Linked DNA regions of Macaca fascicularis. The protein of the gene in region 4 interacts with the protein of the main gene of each other region in a pairwise test. Links are inferred from orthologs where the notes say so. Each region holds a gene or a part of one and is shown on either strand. Other genes may lie near its edges. The genes, in order: NUP62, MYRIP, ODAD1 and C1H1orf216.

Region 1 (6,893 bases), on a different chromosome or scaffold from region 4:
ATGGAGCTGGCAGCCTTCGGTGTTTTAAATGCTCCAGTCAGTGCTGATGGGCGCCCATTGAGATCTGCTGGCTGGGACAAGGCAGAGCGCATGCAGCTGGCCCTGGGGTCATCTCCCCAGACTTGCTTGGCTGTGTGGAGGAGGAGGAGCAGATGAAACAAAAATTAGGGGCCTGTGGAAGGCAGAAGGGTGCAGTGGAAGGGGTGGGGGTAGTGAGGTAGGTTTCCTCTTCCTCAAGCTAGAAGGGGATTTCCTGAGGACAGACACCAAGCAATTTAAAAACTGGCCTGGAGAGAGGGAAGAGGAAACAGACGTCGTGGGTGTTTCTCTGGGCCAGGCACTTGGCTTCTCAGTCATGACTTTGTTCGTTCTGTTTGTTTGTTTGTTTTTTAGACAGGGCCTCCCTCTTTCCATTTCCGGCTTTTAGAGCTGCTTCTGCCTTCCCTGGCTCCTGGCTTTCTCCCGTCTTCAGGTTCCAAAGCGCATCACTCCAGTCTGCTCTTGCCACCACAAGCTTTCTTCCCTCTCCAGTCAGTCAAACCGATCTTCTAAGGATGCTTCTGATCATCTGGAGGGCTCTCACCTATAGTCCTAGCACTTTGGGAGGACAAAGAGGGAGGATCGCTTGAGCCCAGGAGTTCAAGACCAGGGCAACAGAGTGAAATCCCGTTCCTACAAAAAATAAAAAAGATTAGCCGGGCATGGTGGCATGTACCTGTAGTCCCAGCTACTTTGGGAGGCTGAGGTGGAAGGATCGCTTGGGCCCCGGAGCTTGAGGCTGCAGTGAGTTGTGATATGTCACTGCATTCCAGCTGGTATGACAGAGCAAAACCCTTTCCCAAAAGAAAAAAAACACCCCTATCCAGCACTTCCTCTCACCCTTTCCTCACCATCCCGCTGATAGATGGCACCACTTGGAGATTTTTCGGTTAGACGTTACCAACATCAAGTCAGTTTGGACTGAAGGGAAATGTTTGGCCCATGGGGCTTCTCGGGGGCTCTTTATCTGTTCCCCACCCCATCCATCTCTGGTGGGGCTCATGGTCTCCGGTGATGTCCCAGTGTCTGCAGGTGGTTGAGAAGGTGTCCAAGGGTGGCCCAGGTGCAATCCCCTGCACCACACTTAGAGGCGAAGGAGGCAGCTGCCTTCTGAGCATGGAGAAAATCCCAGGGGAGGCTCTGATTGCCTGGCTCGGGTCTCAGTTTATCCTCGAGCCAGTCACTGTGGCCAGGGGCATCTGTGCTCTGAGCACATGGGTTTCAGACCCTCCCCTGAGTTAGGAGGGGCACGTCCTCTCCTGCTCTTAGAGAGTACAGGTGTGGGCCTGGGGGACCTTCAGCAGCCCGTATCCTGCCATCCAGCCTGGGTTCCCTGCCCCATCTCTCTCTCTCACGTCCAGAGAGGCCCTCAGGGTGGCAAGAGCTGATCCGCTCACACCCCGCTAGAGTCAGCCAGGGAACCTTACTGGGTCCCACGCTGGGAGCAGGTCCTACAGCTGTTCTTCTGTGTCCTAGTCCCGCTTGTGGCAGTGCCTCAAATCTGATCTCCTCGGGCTGAAGTGGGTCCAAGGTCCTGTTCTCCCGCCTCATCCTCCAGAGTGGGAACTTTCCACTGTGCTGAATGTGGCCATGCACGTCCCTAGCACCCCGACTCCTCGTACCTGACCCCTGGAGCGTGCATTTGTGCTTCTGGATCCTTCTCGATGTAGCAGAGTCTGGTTTAGGTTACACAGGACGAAGGGGGGTTGCTGCATGGTATCATAATCCCATCCCACCACCCTCCAAACCAGCCGTGCCCAGTCATGCCACTGGGCTTGCCTTTCCAAAACTGCCATCTGACAGTGTCACTTCCTTTGCTTTAGAAATATTCCCGAGGTCGCAGACGCCAGCGGATTTGCTTTGGGAGCCAGAGTAGCTGCCGCCACCAGAGTCCGGAGCCATGAGCGGGTTTAATTTTGGAGGCACTGGGGCCCCTACAGGTGGGTTCACATTTGGCACTGCAAAGACAGCGACAACCACACCTGCCACAGGGTTTTCTTTCTCCACCTCTGGCACTGGAGGGTTTAATTTTGGGGCTCCCTCCCAACCAACCACAAGTACCCCTTCCACCGGCCTGTTCTCACTCGCCACTCAGACTCCGGCCACACAGACAACAGGCTTCACTTTTGGAACAGCAACTCTTGCCTCGGGGGGAACTGGATTTTCTTTAGGGATCGGTGCTTCAAAGCTCAACTTGAGCAACACAGCTGCCACCCCAGCCATGGCAAACCCCAGTGGCTTTGGGCTGGGCAGCAGCAACCTCACTAATGCCATATCGAGCACTGTCACCTCCAGCCAGGGCACAGCACCCACTGGCTTTGTGTTTGGCCCCTCCACCACCTCTGTGGCTCCAGCCACCACATCTGGAGGCTTCTCATTCACTGGTGGAAGCATGGCCCAGCCCTCCGGTTTCAACATTGGCTCAGCGGGGAATTCAGCCCAGCCCACCGCACCTGCCACTCTGCCCTTTACTCCGGCCACGCCAGCAGCCACCACAGCAGGCGTCACGCAGCCAGCTGCTCCCACAGCCACAGCCACCACCACCGGTACTGGGCCCACCCTCTTTGCATCAATAGCAACCGCTCCAACCTCGTCTGCCACCACCGGACTCTCCCTCTGTACCCCTGCGACCACCGCGGGAGCCCCCGCTGCCGGGACACAGGGCTTCAGCTTAAAGGCACCTGGAGCAGCTTCGGGCGCCTCCACAGCAACATCCACCACTGCCACCGCCGCGGCCACCAGCAGCAGCAGCAGCACCACCGGCTTTGCCTTGAATTTAAAACCACTGGCGCCAGCTGGGATCCCCAGCAATACGGCAGCCGCTGTGACTGCTCCACCTGGCCCTGGTGCAGCTGCAGGGGCGGCCGCCAGCTCCGCCATGACCTACGCGCAGCTGGAGAGCCTGATCAACAAATGGAGCCTGGAGCTAGAGGACCAGGAGCGGCACTTCCTCCAGCAGGCCACCCAGGTCAACGCCTGGGACCGCACGCTGATCGAGAACGGGGAGAAGATCACCAGCCTGCACCGCGAGGTGGAGAAGGTGAAGCTGGACCAGAAGAGGCTGGACCAGGAGCTCGACTTCATCCTGTCCCAGCAGAAGGAGCTGGAAGACCTGCTGAGCCCGCTGGAGGAGTTGGTAAAGGAGCAGAGCGGAACCATCTACCTGCAGCACGCGGATGAGGAGCGCGAGAAAACCTACAAGCTGGCCGAGAACATCGACGCGCAGCTCAAGCGCATGGCTCAGGACCTCAAGGACATCATCGAGCACCTGAATACGTCCGGGGCCCCCGCCGACACCAGCGACCCGCTGCAGCAGATCTGCAAGATCCTCAACGCGCACATGGGCTCGCTGCAGTGGATCGACCAGAACTCGGCCCTGCTGCAGAGGAAGGTGGAGGAGGTGACCAAGGTGTGCGAGGGCCGGCGCAAGGAGCAGGAGCGCAGCTTCCGCATCACCTTCGACTGAGCGACAGCAGGGCCCTGGGAGTTCCATGCGGGGAACGCGCCCTGTTGTCTAGTTTGGGGTTGTGGCAAGATACATGTTTCTTTCTTTCACGTGACTGCCTTTGAGACAATTGCTGTGTGCTTTGCCTTTTTCCATGTAGGAAGTATTCTGAGCCCTCTGCCCAGGCAGCAGCCTCATGGGTGTGGCTTCTGTGGCTTTTATTTGAGTGTCTTTGGCCCCTTTCCAGCCACTGCGACCGCCCACCTCATCCTGGCTCGACCTGGTGATGGAGACGCAGTGGTGGTCTTGGTCCCAGCCAGGGTCGCGGGGACAGCTGCTCTCTCCAAAGCGTAGTCATAGGTGTCATGAAAAAATACCAAATGTAAGAGAACCTCCAAAGCCTGCAGGGCGCAGTGGCTCACGCCTGTAATCTCAGCAATTTGGGTGGCTGAGGCAGGCCGATCACTTGAGGTCAGGAGTTCAAGACCAGCCTGACCAACATGGTGAAACCCGTGTCTACTAAAAATACAAAAATTAGCCAGGTGTGGTGGGTGCCTGTGATCTCAGCTACTCGGGAGGCTGAGGCAGGAGAATCACTTGAACCTGGGAGGTGTTGCAGTGAGCCAGGATCACACCACTGCACTCCAGCCTGGCAACAGAGACTGTCTCAAAAAAAAAAAAAAAAAGCGTCCCAGGAGACAGCAGCCTAAGTTTTGGAGTAGGAGGTGTGTGCCTGTGAAAGCTAACCACCAAGACAAAGCAGCACAGTGTGAATAGAACAAACAGTGGGATCGAGAATTGCACAGAAGACAGGTCAGCTGAGGGGCCTACACACAGAGGCCTGCCTTTTGCCTGGCCCAGGCTTACCCCCACCTCTGGGCCTCACCTCCTCCAGGAAGCCTTCCCAGCTACCCAAAGCTCAGGTGGCCTTCTTGCAGGTCCCCGTAGCACCCTGAGCCTGTACCTTGGGTAACACTTGCTATGCTGTCCTGTGCTAGCCGTTTGCGTCCGTCTCGCGGTTAGATTGTGAGCTCCCACGGGCAGAGACCCACTGTTGTTCCCCTGTATGTCCCCAGCCCAGTCCAACAAATGTGACTGGGACATTTATTAAATGAAAGAACAATGAAGCCCGGCATAACAACAGTCCACAGAAATAGCCACAGCTGCCAGTGGTGGCCACGGACATGGCTCTGAACTTCCTGGCACCAGAGTGACTCTAGTCAGTTACAGTAAAATCCACTGTGTGTGGAAGGCAGAAGCCAGCAGTTGTATCCCAAGTGTCTTTTGTATTTGTCTTTATCCTTTGCTGCATTCTCTGAAATACCTATTACTGTATGTTGCTTTTCTAAATAAATGTATTGTGAAACCAAAAAGGCTGCTAATATGGATAAATGTTAGGAGGAGAAACTTGAGTAAAAAGAGCAGCTTTCAGGAGACTCTGCAGGGGTGTCATTCACGTGAAACGCAGGGGCAAGCAGTGCTTGCATAGACACAGGAGCATGTGATGAAGCAGCTTTTGTTTGATGAGACGGAGTAATAGAAAATGCAAATTGTGGTTTGCTCCGGGAAGGGGTGGTGCCTGGTGGTAGAAGAGGAACACGCGAGTGAAGCCACCACGGGGAGTGGGCCCTTGGTGTTTGTGACTGTTATGTCATAGAATATACACAAATATGGCTGGGCGAGGTGGCTCACACCTGTAATCCCAGTACTTTGGGAGGCCGAGATAGGTGAACACTTGAGGTCAGGGATTCAAGACCAGCCTGGGCAACATGGTGAAACCCATCTCTACCAACTACAAAAAAGTTGGTTGTGCATGCTGGCACGCACCTGTGTCTCAGCTGCCTGGGAGGCTGAGGTGGGAGGATCATTTAAGCCCAGGTATTAGAGGCTGCAGTGAGCCGTGATCTGCCACTGCACTCCAGCCTGGGCGACAGAGCAAGACACTGTCTCAAAAAACACACGTTAAGTCATCTAGCCCCATCCCTAAGGCGCTAGTCCAGTGGCTACAGACGGCATGGGCAGCATTCCTTCCTGGCACCTGGGGCTAAAGACACAGGCCCCATGCTCTTCCTCTGCCCTGCAGCCTCGCCCTGTGGACTGGAATGGTCCTAAGCACTCAGATCTTCTGGGCTGTGGGGAGTGTACCCCTTCGGCCTCCCTCAACCTGTTCATGTCAATCTGTGGGCCACGCTTGGAAGATTTATGGCCCAGGTTCCAAAAGTCTCCCGAAGTCATCATCATGAGTCATTATTTCCTTGGACCGGCTGGGCGCGGTGGCTTACACCTGTAATCCTAGCACTTTGGGAGGCCAAGGCTGGCAGAACACCTGAGGTCGGGGGTTCGAGACCAGCCTGACCAACATGGAGAAACCCCATCTCTACTAAAAATACAAACATTAGCTGGTGGCTAATTAGGTGGTGGGCGCCTGTAATCCCAACTACTCGGGAGGCTGAGGCAGGAGAACCGCTTGAACCCAGGAGGTGGAGGTTACAGTAAGCCGAGATCATGCCATTGCACTCCAGCCTAGATAAAGCGAAACTATGTCCCAAATGAATAAAATTTCCTTGGGCCATCTTGGGCTCTGAAGGACAGGAGTTGTGTCTAAGTAGAAGCCATGGGTGTGTGTGGTGGGCATGGTAAACCAGAGGAAGACCCCACAACCCCAGCTACTTCTCTCTGAAAGCTGTCACCTACAGCAGGGACCTCTGTGCAGTTCATAGGCCTTGACTCATGCTGCCCCCTCTGCCGGAAGGGAGGGCTTGAGTCCCCTTAGGAGGCAGGAAGCAGTTTGCATTTTACCTACATTTGTGCCTTCAGCATCTATTTTCAGAGCTGGTCCTGATGTGGTGCTGGAGGTACCAAAAAATGCCCACAAAGAGGTCGTTGGCAGGGTCCACACAATCATGACGAGAAAAATTTGAGCATATATTTCCAAAGTCTATATGTATATTTTCCTATTATTTTGCATACTATTTCCTATTTTGCATATTAAAGCTTAGCAATGCTTAATTGCTTTCTTACAGTTACATTTTTAAAATAAGAACAGATTCCAGCTTTGGGAGGCCGAGGCAGGCAGATCACCTGAGGTCAGGAGTTTCAGACCAGCCTAGCCAACATGGTGAAACCCCATCTCTTCTAAAAATACAAAAACTAGGGTCCGGGCATGGTGGCTCACGCCTGTAATCCCAGCACTGTGGGAGGCTGAAGTGGGTGGATCACAAGATCAGGAGACTGAGACCATCTTGGCTAACACAGTGAATATCTCTACTAAAAATATAAAAAAATTAGCTGGGTGTGGTGGCGGGCGCCTGTAGTCCCAGCTACTCAGAGAGACTGAGGCAGGAGAAGGGCGTGAACCCGGGAGGCGGAGCTTGCAGTGAGCAGAGATGGTGCCACCGCACTCCAGCCT
Region 2 (7,338 bases), on a different chromosome or scaffold from region 4:
TGCCTCCTGCTCCCCCTTGGTCTTGCGTCTTGATATCCCTCTCACCTTCCAGGAAAGTCTAAAGTTCACTTCTTGCTCATTCAATCTCTGTCTTTACCGGGATTTATAAACACACCCAAGTCTCTCCTGTTTTCTAAACCCCTCCTTGACTGCATTTTCCTCCACTCGTTGTCCTGCCATCCTCTTTCCCATCACAGGTCAACTTAAAAAAGTGAGCTGCATTCAGAGCTTCCATTGTCTGCCCTTCCTCAGTCTACACTCACCTTCTCCCGCTTCCAAGCTATTCTCCACACAGCAGCCGCAGTGCACTTTTAGAGGCACAGATCTTACCAGGTCGTCTCTGTGAAACCTTTAAGGGCTGCACATAGTGGTTGAGATAAAGATCCAAACACTGATGTGGCCACCATGACCTGCATGGCCTGTGTCCCCAGGTCACCTCACCAGAGCTGCTTTTTCTCTCTGCAGCCCTGACACGCTGACTCTCATTTAGGCCTTCAGATACACCCTTTCCTCCCAGGACCAGTCTCTGTGCAAGCTGTTTGCTGTGCCTTGTATGTTCTCCCACTCCCTACACCCTTCGGCTGATTCTTCACTGCTTAGGTCCGTCTTCCCTGCTGAACACTTTCAGTGGGCTGTGAACCGTCCCATCAAAGCACTTAACCTATCTATAATTTCATATGTATTTTTATAAGCATTTGATTAATGAATTTCCCACATGAGAATCTCATGCTTGTCAGGGTGGGGTGGGGGCAGGTTTAACTTTGCTCATCAGTGTGCCCCTAATACCTAGGCTGAAGCCAGGCACCTACTGATGCTCATAGACTATTTGCTGGATGAATAAATAAATTCTAGATGCAGCCATGCCAAGCCACACAACCAGTAATTTGCAGGTCCAGGAATTGACCTCACATTTCTCAGACTTTAGTCTATTGTTCTGTCTTTGACTCCATATTGCCTGCAAAGAAGGTATGGGAAGAAAGTTGGGGTTGGTAGCAATGCTGCACCAGAAATCAGTGTGAGAAGAAAAAAGCAATGGGTCAAAAATGTTAGCATTATTGTGGGAACTCATGAGTCCCTAAACCTATTTGCAAGGCTAACAACCCAAGTGTGTAATAGCAGTCTGCCAGTTCAGTGACACAGGGCATCAGTGTTCACTGAAGACCTTTGATAATCATATTCATTCTCTTCTCCCACTCCTACCCTGCCAGGAGGAAGCCTTTTTGAGTCAAACCTGGAGAATGAAGGAAGCATTTCTGGCAGTGATTCAACATTTTATAGGCAGTCAGAAGGTAAATTTGCTTAAGAGTTTACAGCTACTGGGAAGTTGGAGGAATAGAAACACCTACAGGTACAGGTACTGCCAGGGCCCGCCAGGTGCATTGTTACCCCAGATGCAACTATCTACTACTACGTGTGAGTCTCCCTGGGTCACTTATTATTGCCAATTGCATGAATCCATCATATGGCCATCCAAAGTGTGGCCAAGGGAACAGCATTCATTCCCAACCATGGATACTTTACAGTCAACTAGTAAATATTCTTCTGGAGTTGGAACATATCAATCAACCCACTCACTTGTGCATCTCTTATTAAAATATTCCCTTAAAGAAGGTATCATTTACTGATTAAATTCTACTTTTTTATACCAATATAATTGCCCCCTTAGAGCAGTGGTTAAAAGCAAAACAAACTTCTAATTTCAAATAAAACTTTATCACTTCAATTCTTTGTCTGAAGTAATGGACATTGATAATCAGTGCCCCCTGAATTGCCTTCCTCCTGTGACCCCCACAGCTCATCTGTACCCTCTATTCTCTCTTTGGGGGCTGTGATGGTTAATTTTGTGTGTCAAAATTAACTGGGCTAAGGGATGCCCAGATAGCTGGTAAAACTTTATTTCTAGGTTTGTCTGTGAAGGTATTTCTGGAAGAGAATAGCATTTGAATCATAGACTGAGAAAAGAAGATCTACCCTCATCAGTATGAGTAGGTGTCATCCAATCCATTGAAAGCCCAGATAGAACTGAAATGCAGAGGAAAGGTGAATTTACTGTCCCTCTTCTGAAGCTGGGACATCCATCTTCACCTGCCCTCAGACATCAGAGCTTCTGATTCTTGGGCCTTCTAACTCAGGACTTAAACCAGCAGCTCCCCCATTCCACAGCCCTTCACATTTGGACTGAATTATACCACTGCTCTTATGGGTCTCCAGCTTGCACACAGCATATCATGGAACTTCTCAGCCTCCTTCATCACATGAGCCAATTCCCATCATAGATCTCCTATTTTATATCTATATATATCCCATTGGTTCTGTTTCTCTGAAGAACCCTAATACAGGTGCCTTCTCATGAAAATTCTGTCCACTGTTATCCTTATTACCTGCAGCTCCTCCATAGGTTACCACACACCATTGTACGACCTCAAGTGCACCTCCATTTGCTGCTGAGCCAGAAATGCCCAACCTTGATTTCATCCCAGAGTTCTAGGCTCAGATTTCTAATGCTTGGCCATTAGCACCTGAAGATCCTATAGGGTTCTTAACCCCAACTTGTCCTAGTCAAGCTCTTTAGCCACTTAGGTCCACCAGTGAGAGATATGTTTCCTTCAGTCCCTCTCCTCATTTCCCCCAAGCTACAAAAGTACTTGTCAGCCCTGTTTTCAATCTTACCCTTTTCTCTCCATTCTAAACCCCTATCCTTCATACCTCTCTGCCCGAAACTCTCTGGTATTAGTGTTAATTTCAGTGGCCATCTGTATCAGCAGGGTTCTCCAATACACTAAATATATATGTATGTACATGCACACACACACACACACACACACACAGATTCCTTTTAAGGAATTGGCTCATGCAGTTGCAGGGGACTGGCAAGCCCCAAACATACAGGGTAGGCCAGCAGGTTGAAAACTCAGACAGGAGTTGCTGCTTCAGGCTTCAAGCTGAATTTCTCCTCTAGGAAACTTCAGTTTTTGCTCTTAAGGCCTTTCAAAGGATTGAATAAGACACACCCACATTGTGGAGGACAACTCTTACATGAAGTCAACTGATTGTAGATGTTAACGACATCTAAAGAATACCTTCACGGTAACACCTGGACTAGTGTTTGATTAAATAACTGGGTACTATAGCCTAGCCACATTGACACATTGACCATCCCACCATCTAGCTGGTCTTCTGAACTTTGGCCACTTTACCTTCTTAATCTTACCCCCAACCCTTGCCAACCTTTCTCTCTGAAACACTGACCTGAACCTTCACTTTTTACCCAGAGTTCCACATCACTTTCATCTAAGAATTATAATCATAGCATCCAAAGCCTTCCTAGTTACAGCTCCAGGTGCCTACCTTCCAGGAGTCTACACGGATAGTTATGCATGTCTCTTAGTGGTTACTTATATGTCTAATCACCCAATATCTTGGAAGGTACATGAAAGCATGGACTCAGCTTGTCCATCAGGTTGTCACTGGGGCCATCACAGAGCCTAGCACACAAACGGTACTCAGTAAACATTTGTTTGATTCAACAAAAATTTGTACTATTTTCTGTGAAAAATACGTTGGTGACTATCTTGAAGAAGAGAGAGGGGAGATACAGTGTCTACCACCAGGGAGCTCTTAGTGTGTGTGATGACAATTTATATCATGTAGGCTCTAGTTATCAAAACATTGGAAAGACTGTGCTACCTGGTGGTGTGCAGAGCCCTGGGCCGAGCTGCCCCTATGTGGCTCTATCATGACTGTCATAGCTGGCTTGTGACATACTCATCAGCTAGCTAGATCACTTTGACCTTAAGTGGATTGTTTAGAGACTTTATTATGTTTGCCAAATGATACTTTCTGTCTACATCTGTGTCCTTAAGAGTCTAAGAAGCTTGAATTATTTTTTAATTGAGTAGTTAATGAATTGATGTATTCACACCCTGTTTCATTCCACAAAGAATTTTCAACAGCTTACAGGAGATTTGCATGTGTTAAATAATATATGAGTAGGAGACGATAAATGGAAACAGGAGTTTGAAATTGGGGAAAAGGAGACCCAGGTACCCAGCCCTTGCTGACCTACATTCCTGCATGTGATGTGACTTGGACTTCTAGGGAAAACTAAGAGAAGGATGATAGAAATTCTCACAAGTAAGAAGCTAAAATCTAGGATCTCAAGGGAAACAGAACTTTTCCCAGCACTTAGCTCCAAAAAGAACTCTTCACTTGGGGAAGTCCTTTATTTTCTCTCATTTGTTGCCATGTCTTAAAAAAAAAAATGTCCACTAAAAATATGGTAGCACGATATTTTTAAATCATGTTAGCTTGTATTCGTGTCAGTTTTGTGATTAAAATCAAGGGCTTTGAATTGGAAGGAATTTGGAATGGAATCCAAATTCAAATTCAAAGGAATTGGAATCCAACTGGATTCAAATCTTAGCCTTCTTGTCTTGCTGTGTACCTTGGGTGAGTTATTTAACCACTCTGTGCTTGAAATTTACCATCTGTAAAATTGTACCTATATGGCACCTACTTACCACTGGATTTTTGACAGAATTAACTGTGATCATGTATGTGAAACTCTGGGCCTGGGGCCTGCCATGTGGCTATGGCCAATGTTGTTAATACTGGTTGATAGTCTAAAAAATTAAACCATAGAGTTTATATCTGCACTAAGTCATATGCACAGCCCAATGTCCTTAGTACATTTAATAACATTTTCCCCATCATCACAATAATACATTATATGGACAAAATAAAGCATAATCTTTATCTGAGAAAGTGGATGAAGAACCATTATTTCCTTATATTAAGCCCTTTTGTTCAGTCATCTTTAAGCCACTCTGTGTGCTTGGACCAGTGCTTCATTTTTGTATGATCATATTCATACAACAATGAATGTGATCAATTCTCGTTCTCTGAAAGTGACCTGTGGGAAGGGGCCGGGGCATGGAGCCTTTCTGGATGATGAAAGCAAGCCCAGAACCTGGGACAGACCTCAAGCAAAGGGTGAGGCTGAAGGGATTTGGGAAGATTTGTTAGAGGAGGAATTTTTGGGCCAAGCCTTGGGGTCCATGGGAACCAGCTCAGTTATGGAGCACGAGACTAGGAGGGAGGAGGAATGAGACAGCAGGCATGAAATAATCAAATAATTTGTTGCATATGGGGCTCGGGATGTGAATGATGCATGGGAGGCAGTTGTGAGGCAGGTGGAAAGGGCGAGGGCTTTGTGCGCTATGGTAAGCAGCTGAGAACTTATCCCAGAGCCCTTGAAGAATTTAAGCAGAAGAGCTTGAACGGTCATTTTACTCATCATTCCCTTTTAGAAATGCTCTTTGTACTGTTTCCTGTCTAGGACATAGTGTGATGGACACCTTGGCTGTGGCCCTACGGGTGGCTGAAGAGGCCATTGAGGAAGCAATTTCCAAAGCAGAAGCATATGGGGACAGCCTGGTAGGACCCCTCCTGCTCCTCTCTGTGGGGGGAGGTGTGGGTTGGGGTCCTGGCTGCCAGGAGAAAGTGCAGATTGTCAGGAAATCAGTGTCTCAGCAGCTCTGACTAGAGCAGGGCCCTCCCTCTGCTTTTGTGGTCAGGATTCTCCTTGCAAAGTGATTGCCGAGTCAACCCAAGTCCACCCACAGCACACAGCCATTCTCTTCCCTCCGCAGGACAAGCAAAACGAAGCCAGTTACCTGCGGGACCACAAGGAGGAGCTAACCGAGGAACTGGCCACGACAATCTTGCAGAAGGTAGGTGGGCCCTGGCAGTGGGATGGCTGCAGTTTCCTGGCTGGGCCCGGAGTAGGGACTCTGGCAAGTAGCAGATGAAACATGAGGAGTGTCTCTGGTACTGTATCTTCTGTGCCTTCTCACTTTAGCCTTTTGTGCCCTGCGGACCCATGTAGAGGGAATGTATTGCACTGCTCTGCAGTCACTCCTGCTAGCTCCGTGCCCTATGCTGTCCCTTGCACAGTGTACCTGTCAATTACTTCTGAGAAACCAACCACCCCAAAACTCTGTGGCTTCTGACAAGGATCTTTCTGTCTTCCACAACCAATTCTCCAGCACCAACTGAGAACTGAAATTCCATTCAGATACTAACTTCTTCCTGCAGTTAGTGCAGACCCCACATTTAAGGGCCCAGTCCCACAAGACTGCCACTACTTCAGACACCAGCCACAAGTTTCAGGTATCCCCAAGCCACCACACTTCTCCTTACCCTGCTACAAATTTGGGAGTTTCCACGACCCTGGACCCTCAATTCAATGATTTGCTAGAACTCACAGAACTCAGAAAACTGCTTTACTTACCATTACCAGTTTAAAATAAAGGGTACAGGTGAACGGCCAGATGAAGAGATACAGAGAGCAGCAGGGTCTGGGGACAGGATGTACAGAGCTCCCATGCCCTCTCTGTGAACATCACTCCACCAACACATCGATGTATGTACCAACTAGGAAGGTTTCTGTGCCTTGTTGCATCAGAGTTTTTAGCCAGGTTTCAGTATGTAGGCATGATTGATTAAATGATTGATTACCTGATTGAACGCACTCTCTAGTCTTTCTGCTCCGAGCCCTCTAATCATGCACTGTAGTTGGCTTTTCTGGCAACCTGCCGCCATCCTGAAGTTATCTAGGGACCTCACCTTGAATCACCTTGTTAGTATAACAAAGACACTCCTAACACTCGAATCATTGCAAATGTTTTTTGAAACTGTGCCAGGAAATGGGGACAAAGACCAAATACAGACGCCCCTGAACTTACAGTGGATGGGGTTAAGTCCAGATAGTAACCCCATCCTAAGTTGAAGGTATCAGAAGTCAAAATGCATTCAATACACCTAACATACTCTTAATATATCCTAGCTTAGCCTAGCCTATCGTAGATGTACTCAGAACTTGCATTAGCCTATAACAGGTCAGAATCATCTAACTCAAAGCCTATTTTATAATAGTGTTTAATAGCTCATATAATTTATGGAATGCCGTCCTGAATACACAGCGCTTTCCCACCATCGTAAAGTCCAAAAATCCTAAGTCAAGGACTATCTGTATATATGTTTTGTTATGCCACAATTTACTTCTTGCTCACACATCTGCAGTGGCTGCACTTCCAGCTGTGGGTTGGGACAAAGTCGGCTGCAGCATGTTCACTCTGGGTCCCAACTGAGGGCACATCAGCTGCCTGTGGCCATGACAGGAGCACAAGCCAGCAAGAGGAAGCACACAGTGCTTATTAAGGCCGAGGCTTAGCTCTGGCTTACAGTTACTGACTCCCTCCTCTCATCTCATTGGCCAGAGCAAGTCACACATCGAGTCCAAAGCCAAGGGCTGGGATGTAGAATCTCCCTATACTA
Region 3 (7,338 bases), on a different chromosome or scaffold from region 4:
GGGTTTTGCCATGTTGGCCAGGCTGGTATTGAACTCCTGACCTCAGGTGATCTGCCCACCTCGGCCTCCCAAAGTGCTGGGATTACAGGTGTGAGCCACCGTGCCCAGCCCAAATTGTACACTAAATATGTGCAGTTTTACTGTATGTCATCTATTCTTTAATAAAGCAATTATTGAGACAGGAGGATTGCTTGAGTCTGGCCTGGGAGGTGGAGGCTGCAGTGAGCTTTGATGGTACCACTGTACTCAGCCTGGGTGACAGAGTGAGACCCTGTCTCTAAAAAAAAAAAAAGAAAAAAAAGGAAGAAAATTTTTTGGGATTCATGTGCAGTTGAAAAAATGCAGAGTTATCCCTTGTACACTTTGTTGCATTTTCCCCCAGTGTCAACATTTTGGGTATTTCTTTTTCTTTTCTTTTTCGAGGTGGAGTCTTGCCCAGTCACCCAAGCTGGAGTGCAGTGGTGCAATCTTGGCTCTTTGCAGTCTCCACCTCCCAGGCCAGGCTCAAGTGATTGTCGTGCCTCAGCCACCCGAGTAGCTGGGATTACAGGCACGTGCCATTACGCCCAGTTAAGTTTTGTATTTTTAGTAGAGACGAGGTTTCACCATGTTGGCCAGACTAGTCTCGAACTCCTTACCTCAGGTGATCCACTCACCTCGGCCTTCCAAAGTGCTGGGATTACAGGCATGAGCCACTGTGCCTGGCCAACATATGAGTTTTTACGGGACATGATTAAACCCATAACAGAGTACAAATTGAAGTGTTAAGCAATTCATTTGTCTGTTTAGTCTGCATGTTATGTTGAATACCTTCTTTGTCTCAGACACGGAGAAAACACAAGACTCTCTGTCCTCATGGAACCCCCAGTTTGCTTGGAGACACACAGCACACCCCAATAAGTACCGATGAATACAGAAATGAGGACAGATTGGAAGCTGGTTTTAGGCATAAGCAGACCCAGGGATACTAATGTCATTGGGTTCGTTCTCACCATCTCTCCAACTCTCATCTCCACTTCTGTCCACTGGCCTCATCCTCCCAGGATCCTCCCTGTGGTGGGGCTATGACAGCAGAAGTCCTGGAATCCCACCCTTCCATCTCATGTGCTTCCCCCAGACTATCAGGAAACGAGTCAGAGCTGGGCGCCGTGACTCTTGCCTGTAATCCCAGCACTTTGGGAGGCCAAGGCGGGTGGATCACTTGAGGTCAGGAGTTCGAGACCAGCCCAGCCAACATGGCGAAACCCCATCTCTACTAAAAATACAAAAATTAGCTGGGTGTGGTGTACGTGCCTGTAATCCCAGCTATTCGGGAGGTTGAGGCACGAGAATTGCTTGAGCCTGGGAGGTGGAGGTTGCAGTGAGCCAAGATCACGCCACTGCACACTCCAGCCTGGGCGACAGAGCAAGACTCTGTCTCATTAAAAAAAAAAAAGAAACGAGTCAGGCTGGCTCTATGGGGTCGCGTTCCCATCTCTAGGCCAGTCCCTGTGAGTGTCCAGACCTGGGTCATGTGGCTGACAGGGTGACACACTGGGTGGAAGGCCCACCAGAACCACATGGAGGGCTGGATAGTGTCAGCAGAAGGGTAGATGTTATTCTGGGGCTACAGGGACAGCAGATGTCTGCCATGCTTAGTGACTCATTTTCCCTCGGCCATTCAATCTCTCCCACATTCAGGCAACCATAAACGGGTACCGTCCTCTTTCTTCTAGATCCAGGAGTGGGAGACACGGATCTTTACCCACAGTAAGAATGTCAGGTCCTCGGGATTCGTCCTGGATCAGAAGGTCAAGATCGGGCGAAGGATCAGGATCCTAGAAGACCAGTTGGACAGGGTGAGGGTCAGCCTCCTGGTCCCTCGACCTGAATTGCGGGGTTATGGGAAGAACGGGGCATGGTCGTTGGGTTCTGGAAATGGTGGACAGTGTGTGCACATGTGTGTCAGGACACAGGATTCTGGAGGGATGGAGGTTTCCAAGGAAAGGAGACTGATGGGTCCTTAGAGGGGAGTGGACATTGATTTCAGGAACCCCAAAGAACCGATGTTTCTCAGGAAACAGGCCGGCCCCACCTCTGATAAGCATCTCCTCCTTGGCTGAGCTTGGAGGAGACAGGCGGGCCTGGCCTCAGACCCACTCTTCCATCCGCCTTTCTACTCCCAGGTCATCTGTCACTTTGACAACCAGCTGGTGCGGAACGCGGCCCTGCGGGAGGAGCTGGATCTGCTGCGGATCGACAGGAACCGCTATCTGAACATGGACCGCAAGCTGAAGAAGGTCAGTGGCCCTGAAATCCAGGGGAGGAGAGAGGGACCCCTGCCCAGGTCCTCCCCACAGCTGTTTGCCCTTCCTGCTCTAGCACTCAGGCCTCAAGTATGGAATTGACTACAGCTGTAGGCTTGCTTTAGTCCAGAAGGCATGGAGGCCTGGGAAATGTTGGAGGACACTTCCAACAAAAAGTGGCCTCATTTATAGTTGTAGAAAGCAGAGTGTCATTCTGAATAGTATTACCCAGGGCAATCTATTGCCTGACTATTGCAAGACCATTTATTATACATTCCACGGGGATCTTTTGAAGAACCAGCCCTGTCCCGTCTCTTTTGACTTTCTTTCTTTCTGTCTTTCTTTCTTTCTCTCTCTCTTTCTCTTTCTCTTCTCTTCTCTTTTCTTTTGTTTTGTTGGAGTCTTACTCTGTCACCCAGACTGGAGCACAGTGAGGTGATCTGGGCTCACTGCAGCCTGTGCCTCCCAGATTCAAGCAATTCTCGTGCACCAGCCTCCTGAGGACCTGGGACTACAGGCGTGCACCACCACGCCTAGCTAATTAAAACGATTTTTCTTTTTTTTTTTTTTTGAGACGGAGTCTCACTCTGTTGCGCAGGCTGGAGTGCAGTGGTGCGATCTTGGCTCACTGCAAGCTCCGCCTCCCGGGTTCACGCCATTCTCCTGCCTCAGCCTCCTGAGTAGCTGGGACTACAGGTGACTGCCACCGCGCCTGGCTAATTTTTTGTATTTTTAGTAGAGACAGGGTTTCACCGTATTAGCCAGGATGGTCTCGATCTCCTGACCTCATGATCTGCCCGCCTTGGCCTCCCAAAATGCTGGGATTACAGGTGTGAGCCACTGCACCTGGCCGATTTTTTTTTTTTTTGGTATGGACAGGGTTTCACCATGTTGCCCAGGCTGGTCTTGAGCTCTGGAGCTCAGGCAGTTCGCCTGCCTCAGCCTCCCAAAGTGCTGGGATTAGAAGCATGAGCCACTGCGTCTGGTCTTGACTTTCATTTTGAAATAATTTCAAGTTATAGAAAAGGTGCGAGAATTGTACAAATAACTCCTATATATCTTTCACCAAGTTTGATAATTTGCCACATTTATTCTCTTTCTCCCCAACTCTTACTATTTGTGTGTGTAATTATTGTTTTGCTGAAAATAATTTATTATCCTGATTGCTGAACTGTTTGACAATATGTTGTCGACATTATGCTCCTAAGTACTTTAGTGAGCATTTCCTAAGAACAACGCCATTTACTTAGTGCTGTTATCCAAGTCAGGGACATTAGCATTGTTAGAATTCTAAATAGTCCATATTTCAAGGCACTGATTGTCCCAATGATGTCCTTTACAGTGAACTTGATTTTCCTGCTCTAGGCTCTGGTCCAGAATGCCACGTTGCATTTGGTTGTTCTGGCTCTGTTCATCTGGGTCAGTCCCTTGGGCTTTTTTTTCTCCATGACGTTGACATTTTGGAAGCATCCAGGCTGGTTGTGTTGTGCAATGTCCCCTGACACGGGTTTATCTGGTCTTTTTTTTTTTTTTTTTTTTTTGAGACGAAGTTTTACTCTTGTCGCCCAGGCTGGAGTGCAATGGTGCGATCTCGGCTCACTACAACCTCCACCTCCCGGGTTCAAGTGATTCTCCTGCCTCAGCCTTCTGAGTAGCTGGGATTACAGGTACCTGCCACCACGCCTGGCTAATTTTGTATTTTTAGTAGAGACAGGGTTTCTCCATGTTGGTCAGGCTGGTCTCGAACTCCTGACCTCAGGTGATAAGCCCGCCTCAGCCTCCCAGAGTTCCGGGATTACAGGCGTGAGCCACCGCGCCCGGCCGGTTTCTCTGATCTTTCTTCATTATTAGACTTGGTGTCTGCACTTTGGGGGGAATGTCACAGCAGTGATAGTGTGTCCTTCCTGTGCAGGATCTCAGGAGGCACCTGATGTCAGCTTGTCCCATGACTAGTGGTGTTGTCTTTGGTCACTTGGCTAGCCAGGTTTTTGCAATGGAGAGTTTTCCTTTTCGTAGTGAATATGTGGTCCGTGGGGAGATTCTCTGAGACTGCGTAAATATCTTGTCCCCTGACACACCTTCACTCAATCATTTTTTTACGGGATCTTTCGGGCGTCACTTTTCTGGCTGGAAACCTCCTTGGCCAGTGGTGCCTTTGCCCGAGTTCTTGTCCTGTGTCCAGGAAGAAGGAGGTAGGCAGACAAGTGGAGAGGAGCAAGATGAAGAGGAGCTTTATCGAGTGTTAAGACAGCTCAGAGGAGGCCGGGCGCGGTGGCTCAAGCCTGTAATCCCAGCACTTTGGGAGGCCGAGGCGGGTGGATCACGAGGTCAGGAGATCGAGACTATCCTGGCTAACATGGTGAAACCCCGTCTCTACTAAAAATACAAAAAACTAGCCGGGCGTGGTGGCGGGCGCCTGTAGTCTCAGCTACTTGGGAGGCTGAGGCGGGAGAATAGCGTGAACCCGGGAGGCGGAGCTTGCAGTGAGCTGAGATCACGCCACTGCACTCCAGCCTGGGAGACACAGCGAGACTCCGTCTCAAAAAAAAAAAAAAAAAAGACAGCTCAGAGGAGACCTGCAGGGGGCAGTTCCTCTGTAGGCAGGTGGTCTCGTCTAGTGTTCAGCTATCAGCCGTGAGGAGGCCCTGGAGAGGGTGGCTCCTCTCCGCAGGCAGGTTGTTCAGATGTCTGCAGGCCTGTGAAGCTCTCAGCAGAGAGGGTAGCTCCATGGGTGGCCATGGGCAGGCCTGGAGGAGACGCTGCAAGTCCCCACTCGTTCTGCAGTACTGGTAACCTGGCCCCCAGACGTCAGGCCCTCCCTGGCCTAAAGGAGGGACCTTACCGGGGACCTGCCCTCTTCTGCCCAGGAATGTGTCTGCCTCCTGCTGCCATTCATGGCACTGGGCTGGACCCCAACCCCTCTCTGAGATCAGAGTGGGTGCAAGAGAGGAGAGAGGCCGAGCAGCAGGAGCAGACACCTCTGAGCCTGCAGGGATCGGGGGGTGCTTTCCTGGGCTTCTGAGGGTGCAGGCTGCAGAGAACTTCAGAGATGCCTAGGTCCTGTGGTTGGGAGGGTGGCCGCAGCGGCGCTCCGGGAGCTCCCACCCTGCCAACTCGGAAGGGGCAGGACCCTCGCTTGTGCCCGGCTGCTGCCTGCTCCGTGGAGCAGAAGGCCTGGGTCTGCAACTGTGGTTCAGATGGCTACAGCTGCATCCGGGGAGCTCCCACCCCAACTCAGAAGGGGCAGGGCTCCCACCGGCTGCATGGAGTGTGCAGCCCCAGCCAGCAGCTACTGCCATCAATTTTAGCATCCATGAATGATTCTTCCCTGAACGGTTATTACTGTAATGGCTGCAAAAGGGTGATTTAAAAAAACTCTATCATTTCTCCCACATTTATAAGATGGCATTTTCCTTAAGGAAACATTTCTCAGCCGGGGGCGGTGGCTCATGCCTGTAATTCCAGCACTTTGGGAGGCTGAGGCAGGCAGATCACCTGAAGTCAGGAGTTTGAGACCAGTCTGGCTAACATGGTGAAACCCCATTTCTACTAAAAATACAAAAAAGTAGCTGGGCGTGGTGGCGTGCACCTGTAATCCCAGCTACTTGGGAGGCTGAGGCAGGAGATCACTTGAACCAGGGAGCCGGAGGGTGCAGCGAGCCAAGATTGCGCCATTGCACTCCAGCTTGGGCAATAAGAGTGAAACTCCGTCTCATTAAAAAAAAAAAAAAAAAAAGGAAAAACTTCTCTTTCTCCTTGTCAGTGAGCATGAATGTATTGTGACTTCATAGATGACAATCTGTAACTGCCATTCGTTTTAGTGTTCAAATTGCCCCAGATTTGGTTGGGGGGGCCCCTTCACGCTGGCTCCTGTGGCCTTTGGACACACCCCCTCACTTTTGGGGAGTACTTCCTCACTCTCTGGCACGGGAAGATAGCCGAGGTAATCTGGACCTTGTTCTGCCCCATCCCTGGGGTCGGCCGTTGTTCTGAGGAGTCCGATTCTTTCTGGGGAAGAGTAGGTGTGGAGGCACTAAGAGAGTTCGTCGCTACTTGGGTGTCATTGCTTTGAGGCCCTTTCTCTGGAGAGAGCTAGGAAGCACACATATTTTATATGTTTTAAAATTCTATTTAGTTTTTGTAGAGATGGGGTCTCACTGTGTTGTCCAGGCTGCTCTCAATCTCTTGGGCTCAAGTGATTCCCCTGCCTTGGCCTCACAAAGTGTTGGGATTACAGGCATGAGCCACTGCGCCTGGCTGACATATTTTACAATAGTGAGTTCACGTTGATTCCTCTGATTCCATTCCGGTACCACCAGGTTTTTCCTGAGCATTCCTCATTTCATCTTTCTTTTTTGAGACGGAGTCTTGCCCTTGTTGCCCAGGCTAGAGTGCAATGGCGCGATCTTGGCTCACTGTAACCTCCGCCTACTGAGTTCAAGCGATTCTCCCGCCTCAGCCTCCCGAGTAGCTGGGATTACAGGCATGCGCCACCATGCCTGGCTAAGTTTTTGGATTTTTAGTAGAGACGGGGTTTCTCCATGTTGTTGAGGCTGGTCTCAAACTCCCAACCTCAGGTGATCCGCCTGCCTCGGCCTCCCAAAGTGCTGGGATTACACGCGTGAGCCACTGCGCCTGGCCTCTTCATTTCATCTTTCTGGCTCTCTTCTCCCACAGCGGGAACACCAGTTCCCAACCACATCAACATACTTACTCATTTGCTGAGTCATATGACACGTACAGAAGAATTACAGAATTACCGCAGCCATACCACCACCCCCAAACCTGATAAATAGGGTTCAGGATTTGTTTGCAGTTTGTTTTGTCCTCTGAGAATATGAGTATTTATATATCTTTTCTTTTTTTCTTTTCTTTTTTTTTGAGATGGAGTTTCTTTCTGTCGTCCAGGCTGGAGGGCAGTGGCCATGACCTTGGCTTACTGCAACCTCTGTCTCCTGGGTTCAAGTGATTCTCCTGCCTGAGCCTCCCAAGGAGCTGGGATTACAGGCATGCATAATCACACCCAGCTAATTTTTGTATTTTTAGTAGAGAT
Region 4 (8,013 bases):
CAAAGGACTAAGAGTTTTGTTCCTGTCTCTGAGATTCTGGGTATTGCAGGTCAGAAGGTGATAGCATCAGCCGGGCATGGTGGTTCACGCCTGTAATCCCAGCACTTTGGGAGGTCGAGGCGGGCGGATCATTTGAGGTCAGGAGTTCGAGATCAGCCTGACCAACATGGTGAAACCCTGTCTGTGCTAAAAATACAAAAATTAGCTGGGTGTGATGGCACGTGCCTGTAATCCCAGCTACTCGGGAGGCTGAGGTAGGAGAATGGCTTGAACCTGGGAGGTGGAAGTTGCAGTGAGCTGAGATCACGCCACTGCACTCCAGCCTGGGTGACAGAGTGAAACTGTCTTGGGAAAAAAAAAAAAAAAAAAAAAAAAGATGGTGATAGCGTCGTGGGAGGAACGTTTCTAACCAAGAAACACAAAGATGATTCTCTTGGATTTCAGGCTCCTGGTAGTACTAGAGGAATAGAAGGGGGTGGTCACAGTGTAGACTGGACTGATAATGGCTCTCAAGGAGAAAGGGAGTTACTGCTACCTAATAAGGGTTGAGAGGTGGGTGAGTGGAACCCAGAGACCCTGGGGTCACCACCTTGTGCTATTGTATTAATCAGCATTCTTTTGATTGTCGGTGAAAGAATTCCACTCAAGTTAGGCTTGGCAAAATAAGGCACACAAAACTATAAATTTAGATTCAGGAAACAGGGTCTGCAACATTATCAGAACTTCTGTCTCTCATCTCTGTTTCTTCCCTGCCTCATCTTCCTTTAATTTCATTTCAGAAGATCCCAGACTCCGACTGGCTCACCTGGAGTGGAGTTCCTATCCCTTGATTCTTCAGGCTTTCATTTGACCCACATGGTTAAGCTGGGAGAGACAGAGTCCAAACAGAGGCAGAGAAAGGCTATTCTGGGCAGAACAAACAATTGATGACTTTATGGCTCTGTGGTCTGGGGAGAACTGCATAACCCTAGATCACCAAAGCTGAGAGCCTTTAAGAGTGAGGATTTGGGCCGGGCATAGTGGCTCACGCCTGTAATCCCAGCACTTTGGGAGGCTGAGGTGGGTGGATCACAAGGTCAGGAGATCAAGACCAATCTGACCAACATGGTGAAACCCCATCTCTACTAAAAATACAAAAATTAGCTGACGTGCTGATGCATACACCTGTAATCCCAGCTACTCGGGAGGCTGAGGCAAGAGAATCGCTTGAACCTGAGAGGCATACGTTGCGGTGAACCGAGATTGCACCACTGCACTCCAGCCTAGGCGACAGAGCGAGACTACATCTCAAAAAAACAAAAAAAACAACCAACAGTAAGGATTTGGATTTGGTCACCCCAGGCTGAAGGCCAGGGGAACCTGAAGTGGATAAGGGAAGGGAGAGAACTTAGGCCACAGGATCTGATGTAGAAATGAGGCTGACATCTCCACCTGTATTTTCTTAGCTGGAGGAGTGTGCAAAGTTTGAATTACTTCTGCCTTCTTCTTATTTCCTTTTCCCTCTTAAAATAGTCATCATAATCATAAAAATTTATTTTCCATTTTCCCTGTTTTTGCATATAGGATTTCTTGGTGTGATTCAATTTGCCAATTAGTATCTAGGTTGCAGAATGGTGACTTGCAATCAAGTTGAAACTGGAAGAGGGTACCTTATATATTAGGGTCAGCAATTACTAAACTCTGTTCTCTTTTATTCCAAACAGGGTCCCCAACTTCACATTTCCCCAGGGTGCAAAAGAGGGGGATCAAGCTTCAGTAGAGTGGAGCTCTGAGAAGAATTCACTAGAGTTTGGAAGCCAGGACCCTTTTTATAACCTTGTTCCTCCTCACCTGGGCAAAAGCACTAGTGCCCACTGCACAGGTGTCATGGACGGGCTCTGTGTCCTGTGGAGAGCCCCCATCCCAGGTACAGGACATCAGCCCTGGGACCTGTCCCAGGCTGGATCTTCTTCTTTCTCTCTCTCTTTTTTTTTTTGAGACAGAGTCCCACTCTGTTGCCCAGGCTGGAGTGTAGTGGTACAGTCTTGGCTCACTGCAACCTCCACCTCCCAGGTTCAAGCGATTCTCCTGCCTCAGCCTCCCGAGTACCTGGGATTACAGGCGCCCGCCACCACGCCCAGCTAATTTTCGTATTTTAGTAGAGACGGTGTTTCACCATGTTGGCCAGGCTGGTCTCGAACTCCTGACCTCAGGTGATCCGCCGGCCTCGGCCTTCCAAAGTGCTGGGATTACAGGCGTGAGCCACCGCGCCCGGTCTCAGTGACTTTAGTCAAGTAGCACAAAAAGAAATATATAATTCCAAATTGTGATAAATGCTATGAAGAAAAGGAACGTGCCCTGACATACAAGGGGGAACGAATGCGATCTAGGGAGTCAGAGATTTCTCCGAGGAGAGAGCTGAAATAGGAGTAAATCGAGAGGGGGAAGAGACTGCTAGACCGAGGGAACCGTGCGTGCCAAAGCCGCGTGGCAGAAAGGGGCGTGCGGGAGGGTAGCTGCGGAGAGGGAGGGTAGAGGACAAAGCCGGAGAGGCAGACGGAGGGCCGGACGCGCAGAGCCCCGCGGCTGCTGCCTTAGGGGTTGTCCCGGCTGTGGGGAAGTCATAGAGGAGTTTAAAGCCGGAAGGTGGTGACTAATCAGATTTCACTTGAAAATGGCACGGTGTCTGCAGTGAGGTGAACTGATGGGAAGGGCCCAGCGAACGCCAATAGGAGAGAGCACCGGACCTGAAAGGCCTGGTTCAACGCGGCCCCGCGCGGGGGCGAGGCGGTTCCGGCGCAGAGCCTAGCGCGCGGCTCCGCGGAAAACCCAACCGGCCCACGTGGGCCGGGCCGCTCCGCCCCGCCGCGCAGACGCCGCCTGACTCCGCAGTCCGGACCTGGGGCTGGGCGCGCTGCCCGGGAGCCCCGCACCCACCCTTGGACCGCGGAGACGCCCAGGCCGAGGAACCCCCAGCCCAGGGACTAGACACCACCAGGGCCGGGCGGAGCCATAGCCAGACGCGCCGGATCGGGCGCCTCTAGGCCGTGAGTCGGAGGCGGGGGGCTTGGGGCCCAGCCGCGGGAAGCGGGGAGTCACAGCGGCCTCCGAGGAGACTAGGGAAGGATTGGTCTCTGCCTCCTGGGGTGGTCTCCCACTCCCGCAAGGCCAGGAAAGGAGGCTGCCTCCTATTTGGGCGGAGACCTAGTCCTGGGGTGTCGGGGTTCCTATTTTACTATTTCTGAGAACCCTGTGATCCCTAGCGCCACCCCTACCCCATCCCAGCTTCCTTCATGGCCCCATCCAAGTATAGGAAAAATTAAAAATTGGGGCGAGGGGAGATCTGTAGGCACCTTCCCACAAGCCTTGCTTAGAGGGCGATTACAAAGGAACTGTTCCTACACCCTTCTCCCCAGGACTTCTGCCCGTTGCTGGGGGTGGGGAGGGTCCATGCCACCTATGGTGCGCCTCCCAGTGCCGGCTCCACTTACAATATCCTTCCTCTTCATGCTCTTAAATTGTTCTAATCCCAGTGCTGTTTGGTCAGTAGAATTCCTTTGTCAATTCAAATCCTAATTTTGGTTAGAAGCAGGTTATGGAGGAGAGAAGAGTGGTGTGGTATGCCCGCCCTCCAGGGCCTCAGGATGGAGCAAGCTAGGGACAGGGACACAAGATAGTGGCCGTGTTCCAGAGGCATTGGGAGGGAAGTGGGCAGGCTCAGAAGAAAAGCTTGTCACTGGGGAAGGCTGGGCTCCCTGGCTGGGGTAGGAGAGGGAACTGAACCCAGCTCTTCCAGCCCGGGGGAGTCGGGAGTAGCTTCCTGAGCATGGAAATTCACTGCAGTCTCTTCTCCCATTCACTCGCTTAGCAAGTACCAGTATGCACAGACAGCCTGGTTCCGGGCTCTATGCTGGCTGACTCTGGGGAATATGATGGAGGATATATAGGGGAGGTCCAAGCTAGATTACAAACTGCTATTACAAGATCATTGCCACAAACCAAAACTGCCAGTTAAATAGACATTCACTGATCGTCGACCATGTATGCCAGGGACAGACACAAAGTTGGATAAGACAGTGTGTACCCAGGGCAGTGGAGACCCAGAGGAAGGCATAACTAACCGTGCTTGTTTATGTAATATTGATTGCGGCAGTATCAAGACAGCTTCAGAGACATGGGTACATGGAGATATGGGGATATTACAGCTGATTTTGAAGTACAAAAAGGAATTTGCTGGGTGGAGAAGGGAGGAGCTTTGAGGGGAGGGGAGAGGAAGGATATTATAGGCCAAAGGAATACTGTAAGAAGGACAATGGTGTGTTTTGAGATCTCTGGGCAGTTTGCTATGATGGGAGGGACAGAGTGGCAAAAGGCAGGTGTGGAAGGGTGAGCAGAGGCTAGATCAAACAGGGCCTTGTAGGCCACATAGAGGTTTAGCAGGAGTTCAGGGAGGGCATTCTGAGTGGTGACAAGTGAAATTTACATTTGTAACTGGGGGCAGAGAGACCAGTGAAAAGGCCGAGGCAATAATCCAGGTCAGAAATGGCCTGGAAGAGGAAGAATGGTCAGAATGTGGTTATCAATGAGATGGGAGAAGGAAGGAGAGTGAGGAGCCCAGGATGCTCCTAGCCTTCTGGATGGAGGGTGGAGCCATCTTGCTGAGGATACTGAAGGAGAGCTTGTTTGGTTATATAGAATTTTGGTGGTGGGGGCGGGGGGTGGAGAGGGATGAAGTCTCACTCTGTCACCCAGGCTGGAGTGTGGTGGCACAATCTCAGTTCACTACAACCTCTGCCTCCTGGGTTCAAGCGCTTCCCAAATAGCTGGGATTACAGGTGCCTGTCACCACGCCTGGCTAATTTTTGTATTTTTAGTAGAGATGGGGTTTCACCATGTTGGCCAGTCTAGTCTCGAACTTCTGACCTCAGGTGATCTGCCTGCCTCGGCCTCCCAAAGTGCTGTGATTACAGGCATGAGCCACCGCACCCAGACTGGTTATGTAGAATTTGAGGAGCCTATGATTGGTTGCAGGGTTGGATAGCAGTTAGATCTGGGCTGAAGACAGATCTGAGAGTCATCAGCATATGATGGACCTTGAAGCTACAGCAGAGAATGAGGTCCTCTGGAGAGAAATGTGCAAAATCAGAAGACAGCCTGGCTCTGAGGACTGAGGAAAAACCCTCTGCAGGAGACTGAGAATGAACAGGTAGACAGGGAGGACGAAAACCGTGAGGGGAAGTGTCACCAGAGTCAAGAGAAAGGGCTTGACAGGGAGTGGTCGGGCTCTTGCTTTCAGCCTTGTCCCTGCAGCTAAGTTGCCCTGACTTCAGGCACCCCACCCTGTCCTACTGTGACTCAGTCTCCTGCTTTCCCTTTACAGACCAGATGTTCGCCATCCAGCCAGGGCTAGCTGAGGGGGGCCAATTCCTGGGGGACCCACCTCCTGGAGTATGTCAGCCCGAGCTCCAACCAGACAACAACTCCAACTTCATGGCAAGTGCCAAGGATGCTAATGAGAATTGGCATGGGATGCCAGGCAGAGTGGAACCTATCCTGAGGAGGAGCTCCTCTGAGTCGCCCTCTGACAACCAGGCCTTCCAGGCCCCTGGATCCCCTGAGGAAGGGGTGCGCAGCCCCCCAGAGGGGGCAGAGATTCCCGGGGCTGAGCCTGAGAAGATGGGTGGTCCTGGCACAGTCTGCTCCCCTCTGGAGGACAATGGCTATGCCAGCAGTTCCTTGAGTATCAACAGCCCTAGCAGCAGTCCTGAGCCTGCCTGTGGGACCCCGCGAGGCCTTGGCCCTCCCGATCCCCTTCTGCCCTCAGTGGCCCAGGCTGTGCAGCACTTACAAGCCCAGGAGCGCTACAAAGAGCAGGAGAAAGAAAAGCACCACGTGCACTTGGTGATGTACCGTCGCCTGGCACTGCTCCAGTGGATCCGGGGCCTGCAGCATCAGTTGATTGACCAGCAGGCCCGACTACAGGAGAGCTTCGACACCATCCTAGACAACCGGAAGGAGCTCATTCGCTGTCTCCAGCAGAGGGCAGCACCATCCAGGCCCCAGGACCAGGGCTAAGGGTGTGTCTCCACAAGTGTGCAAGGGTGTATGTGTATATTTGCAGGCATGTGTGAGGTTGTGCACTAGTAAGTACATAATTATTTGCTGGCATGATTGCAGGTAGGCATGAGTGTGTATGTGCTAACATGTAGGCTGGTGTGTATAGGAATGTGTGAATAAACATGTATAAATGAGCTTAAGTGTGCTGTGTGCACATGTGCACACACAAGCTAATTTATCTGCAGACCTATATGTGAGCATGTAAGAGTGAACATGTATGTGTGTAGTATGTAAGAAGAATGAGGAAATCTGTATGTGCGTGTGTAGACAGGTACCCAGCAGTGTGTGTATATGCACATGAGTGAGGATGTATATGCAGAAGATGTGTGTGTCTATGAGTGAGTTTGAGTGTGCAGGCTTGTGTTGGATGTATGTGAGGGAGCCCTTGTGTGTGCAGGGGTGCACGTGTGTGGCTGCAGGCATGGGAGGTGTATGTTAGGAGCATGTGTGTTTGCAGGCAGACTCATGAGCAGGTGTGTGCAAATACATATCCAGCTGCACTGTGGGGTATCCACCCACACCTTGTGTTCCTCATGGCCTACCGCAGCCTTTCTTCTCCACTGGGTCCCACTGTTCCCTGGAGACAGAGGGCTAGCATGCTATCATTTATCTGAGGGTTGTGGCTGACCCATTCTCCTGGGGTTTCCCAGGCCACCTCTTCTTTCCCTTTCCCTCACTTAGCCCAGACTTGCTCAGCTGAGGCTATCGTCCCTGATGTTGGCTTTGCTTGTAGGAGGTTTAGTGGCTGCTCTGGCCTGCTATGGCATTTTGGCTGCAATTTTGTCTGGCAGTGGGTGGAGAACTGGTATCAGGAAGGGGAACCGGGAGTAGTGATGGAGATGATGGTGGGGGTGGGGACAGAGAAGGACATAGGGGACTGTCCCTCTTGAACTCTGCCTTTGGGCACATGGGAGATGGGGACAGGGGAGATGACAATAGTGGAACCCTGTGAAGAATAGGAGAACGGGAATTCTAAAATACCAGTTCCCAAACAAACCATCTCTCCACTGGGAAAGGAGCTGTCGCAAACCCTGTTGATTTAAGCTTCTGATGAAAAGCAATGTATGTTAATAAGCCTGCAAGGAACAGACAAGATGTTCCAAAGCTGATGAGGAAAATATCGCTTCCCTGTCTCTGCCTCTACCTTGCTGTGCCTCTCTGGCTTTAGAAGCATTGGATGTCGAATTGGTTTGGTTCATTTCTCTGAAGTCGGACTGTCAGGAGGAGCCAGAGGTTGGCTTTCTGGGATGGGAAGGGGGCAGTGTCAGCCTAAGCCTCTGGAAATGCTTAGGATGCTGAATTTTAACCCCTTCTTTCACTGCATGGTCCTTCAAACAGGGATTGGCAGGCTCCGTGAGTTACAGAGTGGGTGAGCCTTGGAAAGAACCAACGACTAAGGTAGCTGAGCTCTCTTTTGTTCCTGGAAGCCAAGAGAATGCAAGATCCTGGTGGGTGAGCAGGGGTATGAAGAGGGGACACTGGTGGGTGAACAGTGGCATGGAAGTCACTGATGCAGCCTCTGGCCCTCAGTCTCCCTATCGGCAAAGTGGGGGGCTCTTCCTGTCTATCTCTAAAGAGTTTCATCCCTGACAGGTGGATGAGTGAAAGATCCAGGGAGTGGGGGTGAGGGGTGGGCCCTGAAGACTTTTTGTCTGTAGCTCTTACATATTGAGTGTGTAAACCCGGCCTTTGGACCAACGCAAGACAAATAAACTGGGGCAGAGAATTAAATTTCTTGAGTATGTGTTTTTCTTCTACCTGTTGTCTGGTGGCCTCTTTTCCATACCATCTGAGCTCCCCTTCTGAGTAGGGTCCTGGACTAGGAGCTAGGGAGGTGATTTTGGGGAAAGACACTGAAGAATTTAGACTGCTGTGCCTGGCGACCCGATGGGGTGGAGAAGTCTCTCGGGGCCTCCC

What was found.
Region 1: the proteins of C1H1orf216 (region 4) and NUP62 interact in binary tests that used the Homo sapiens proteins (3 or more experiments, as listed by UniProt). The two-hybrid records come from large-scale screens. The link is inferred for Macaca fascicularis from reciprocal best matches to the Homo sapiens genes C1orf216 and NUP62.
Region 2: the proteins of C1H1orf216 (region 4) and MYRIP interact in binary tests that used the Homo sapiens proteins (3 or more experiments, as listed by UniProt). The two-hybrid records come from large-scale screens. The link is inferred for Macaca fascicularis from reciprocal best matches to the Homo sapiens genes C1orf216 and MYRIP.
Region 3: the proteins of C1H1orf216 (region 4) and ODAD1 interact in binary tests that used the Homo sapiens proteins (3 or more experiments, as listed by UniProt). The two-hybrid records come from large-scale screens. The link is inferred for Macaca fascicularis from reciprocal best matches to the Homo sapiens genes C1orf216 and ODAD1.

Annotation. Positions count from the first base shown.
Region 1 is NC_088393.1:57,888,751-57,895,643, reverse strand, and holds the end of NUP62 (nuclear pore glycoprotein p62), read left to right. Parts: intron 1-1,862; 5' UTR 1,863-1,939; coding exon 1,940-3,505; 3' UTR 3,506-4,857; downstream 4,858-6,893. UniProt on the Homo sapiens protein: Essential component of the nuclear pore complex. The N-terminal is probably involved in nucleocytoplasmic transport.
Region 2 is NC_088376.1:103,014,221-103,021,558, forward strand, and holds part of MYRIP (rab effector MyRIP), read left to right. Parts: intron 1-1,208; coding exon 1,209-1,289; intron 1,290-5,338; coding exon 5,339-5,436; intron 5,437-5,651; coding exon 5,652-5,732; intron 5,733-7,338. UniProt on the Homo sapiens protein: Rab effector protein involved in melanosome transport. Serves as link between melanosome-bound RAB27A and the motor proteins MYO5A and MYO7A. May link RAB27A-containing vesicles to actin filaments. Functions as a protein kinase A-anchoring protein (AKAP).
Region 3 is NC_088393.1:56,295,776-56,303,113, reverse strand, and holds part of ODAD1 (outer dynein arm-docking complex subunit 1), read left to right. Parts: intron 1-1,715; coding exon 1,716-1,838; intron 1,839-2,165; coding exon 2,166-2,279; intron 2,280-3,826; exon of another isoform or gene 3,827-3,952; intron 3,953-7,338. UniProt on the Homo sapiens protein: Component of the outer dynein arm-docking complex (ODA-DC) that mediates outer dynein arms (ODA) binding onto the doublet microtubule. Involved in mediating assembly of both ODAs and their axonemal docking complex onto ciliary microtubules.
Region 4 is NC_088375.1:199,232,203-199,240,215, forward strand, and holds C1H1orf216 (UPF0500 protein C1orf216 homolog), read left to right. Parts: upstream 1-2,848; 5' UTR 2,849-3,026; intron 3,027-5,010; 5' UTR 5,011-5,185; intron 5,186-5,359; 5' UTR 5,360-5,364; coding exon 5,365-6,054; 3' UTR 6,055-6,056; exon of another isoform or gene 6,057-7,434; 3' UTR 7,435-7,827; downstream 7,828-8,013.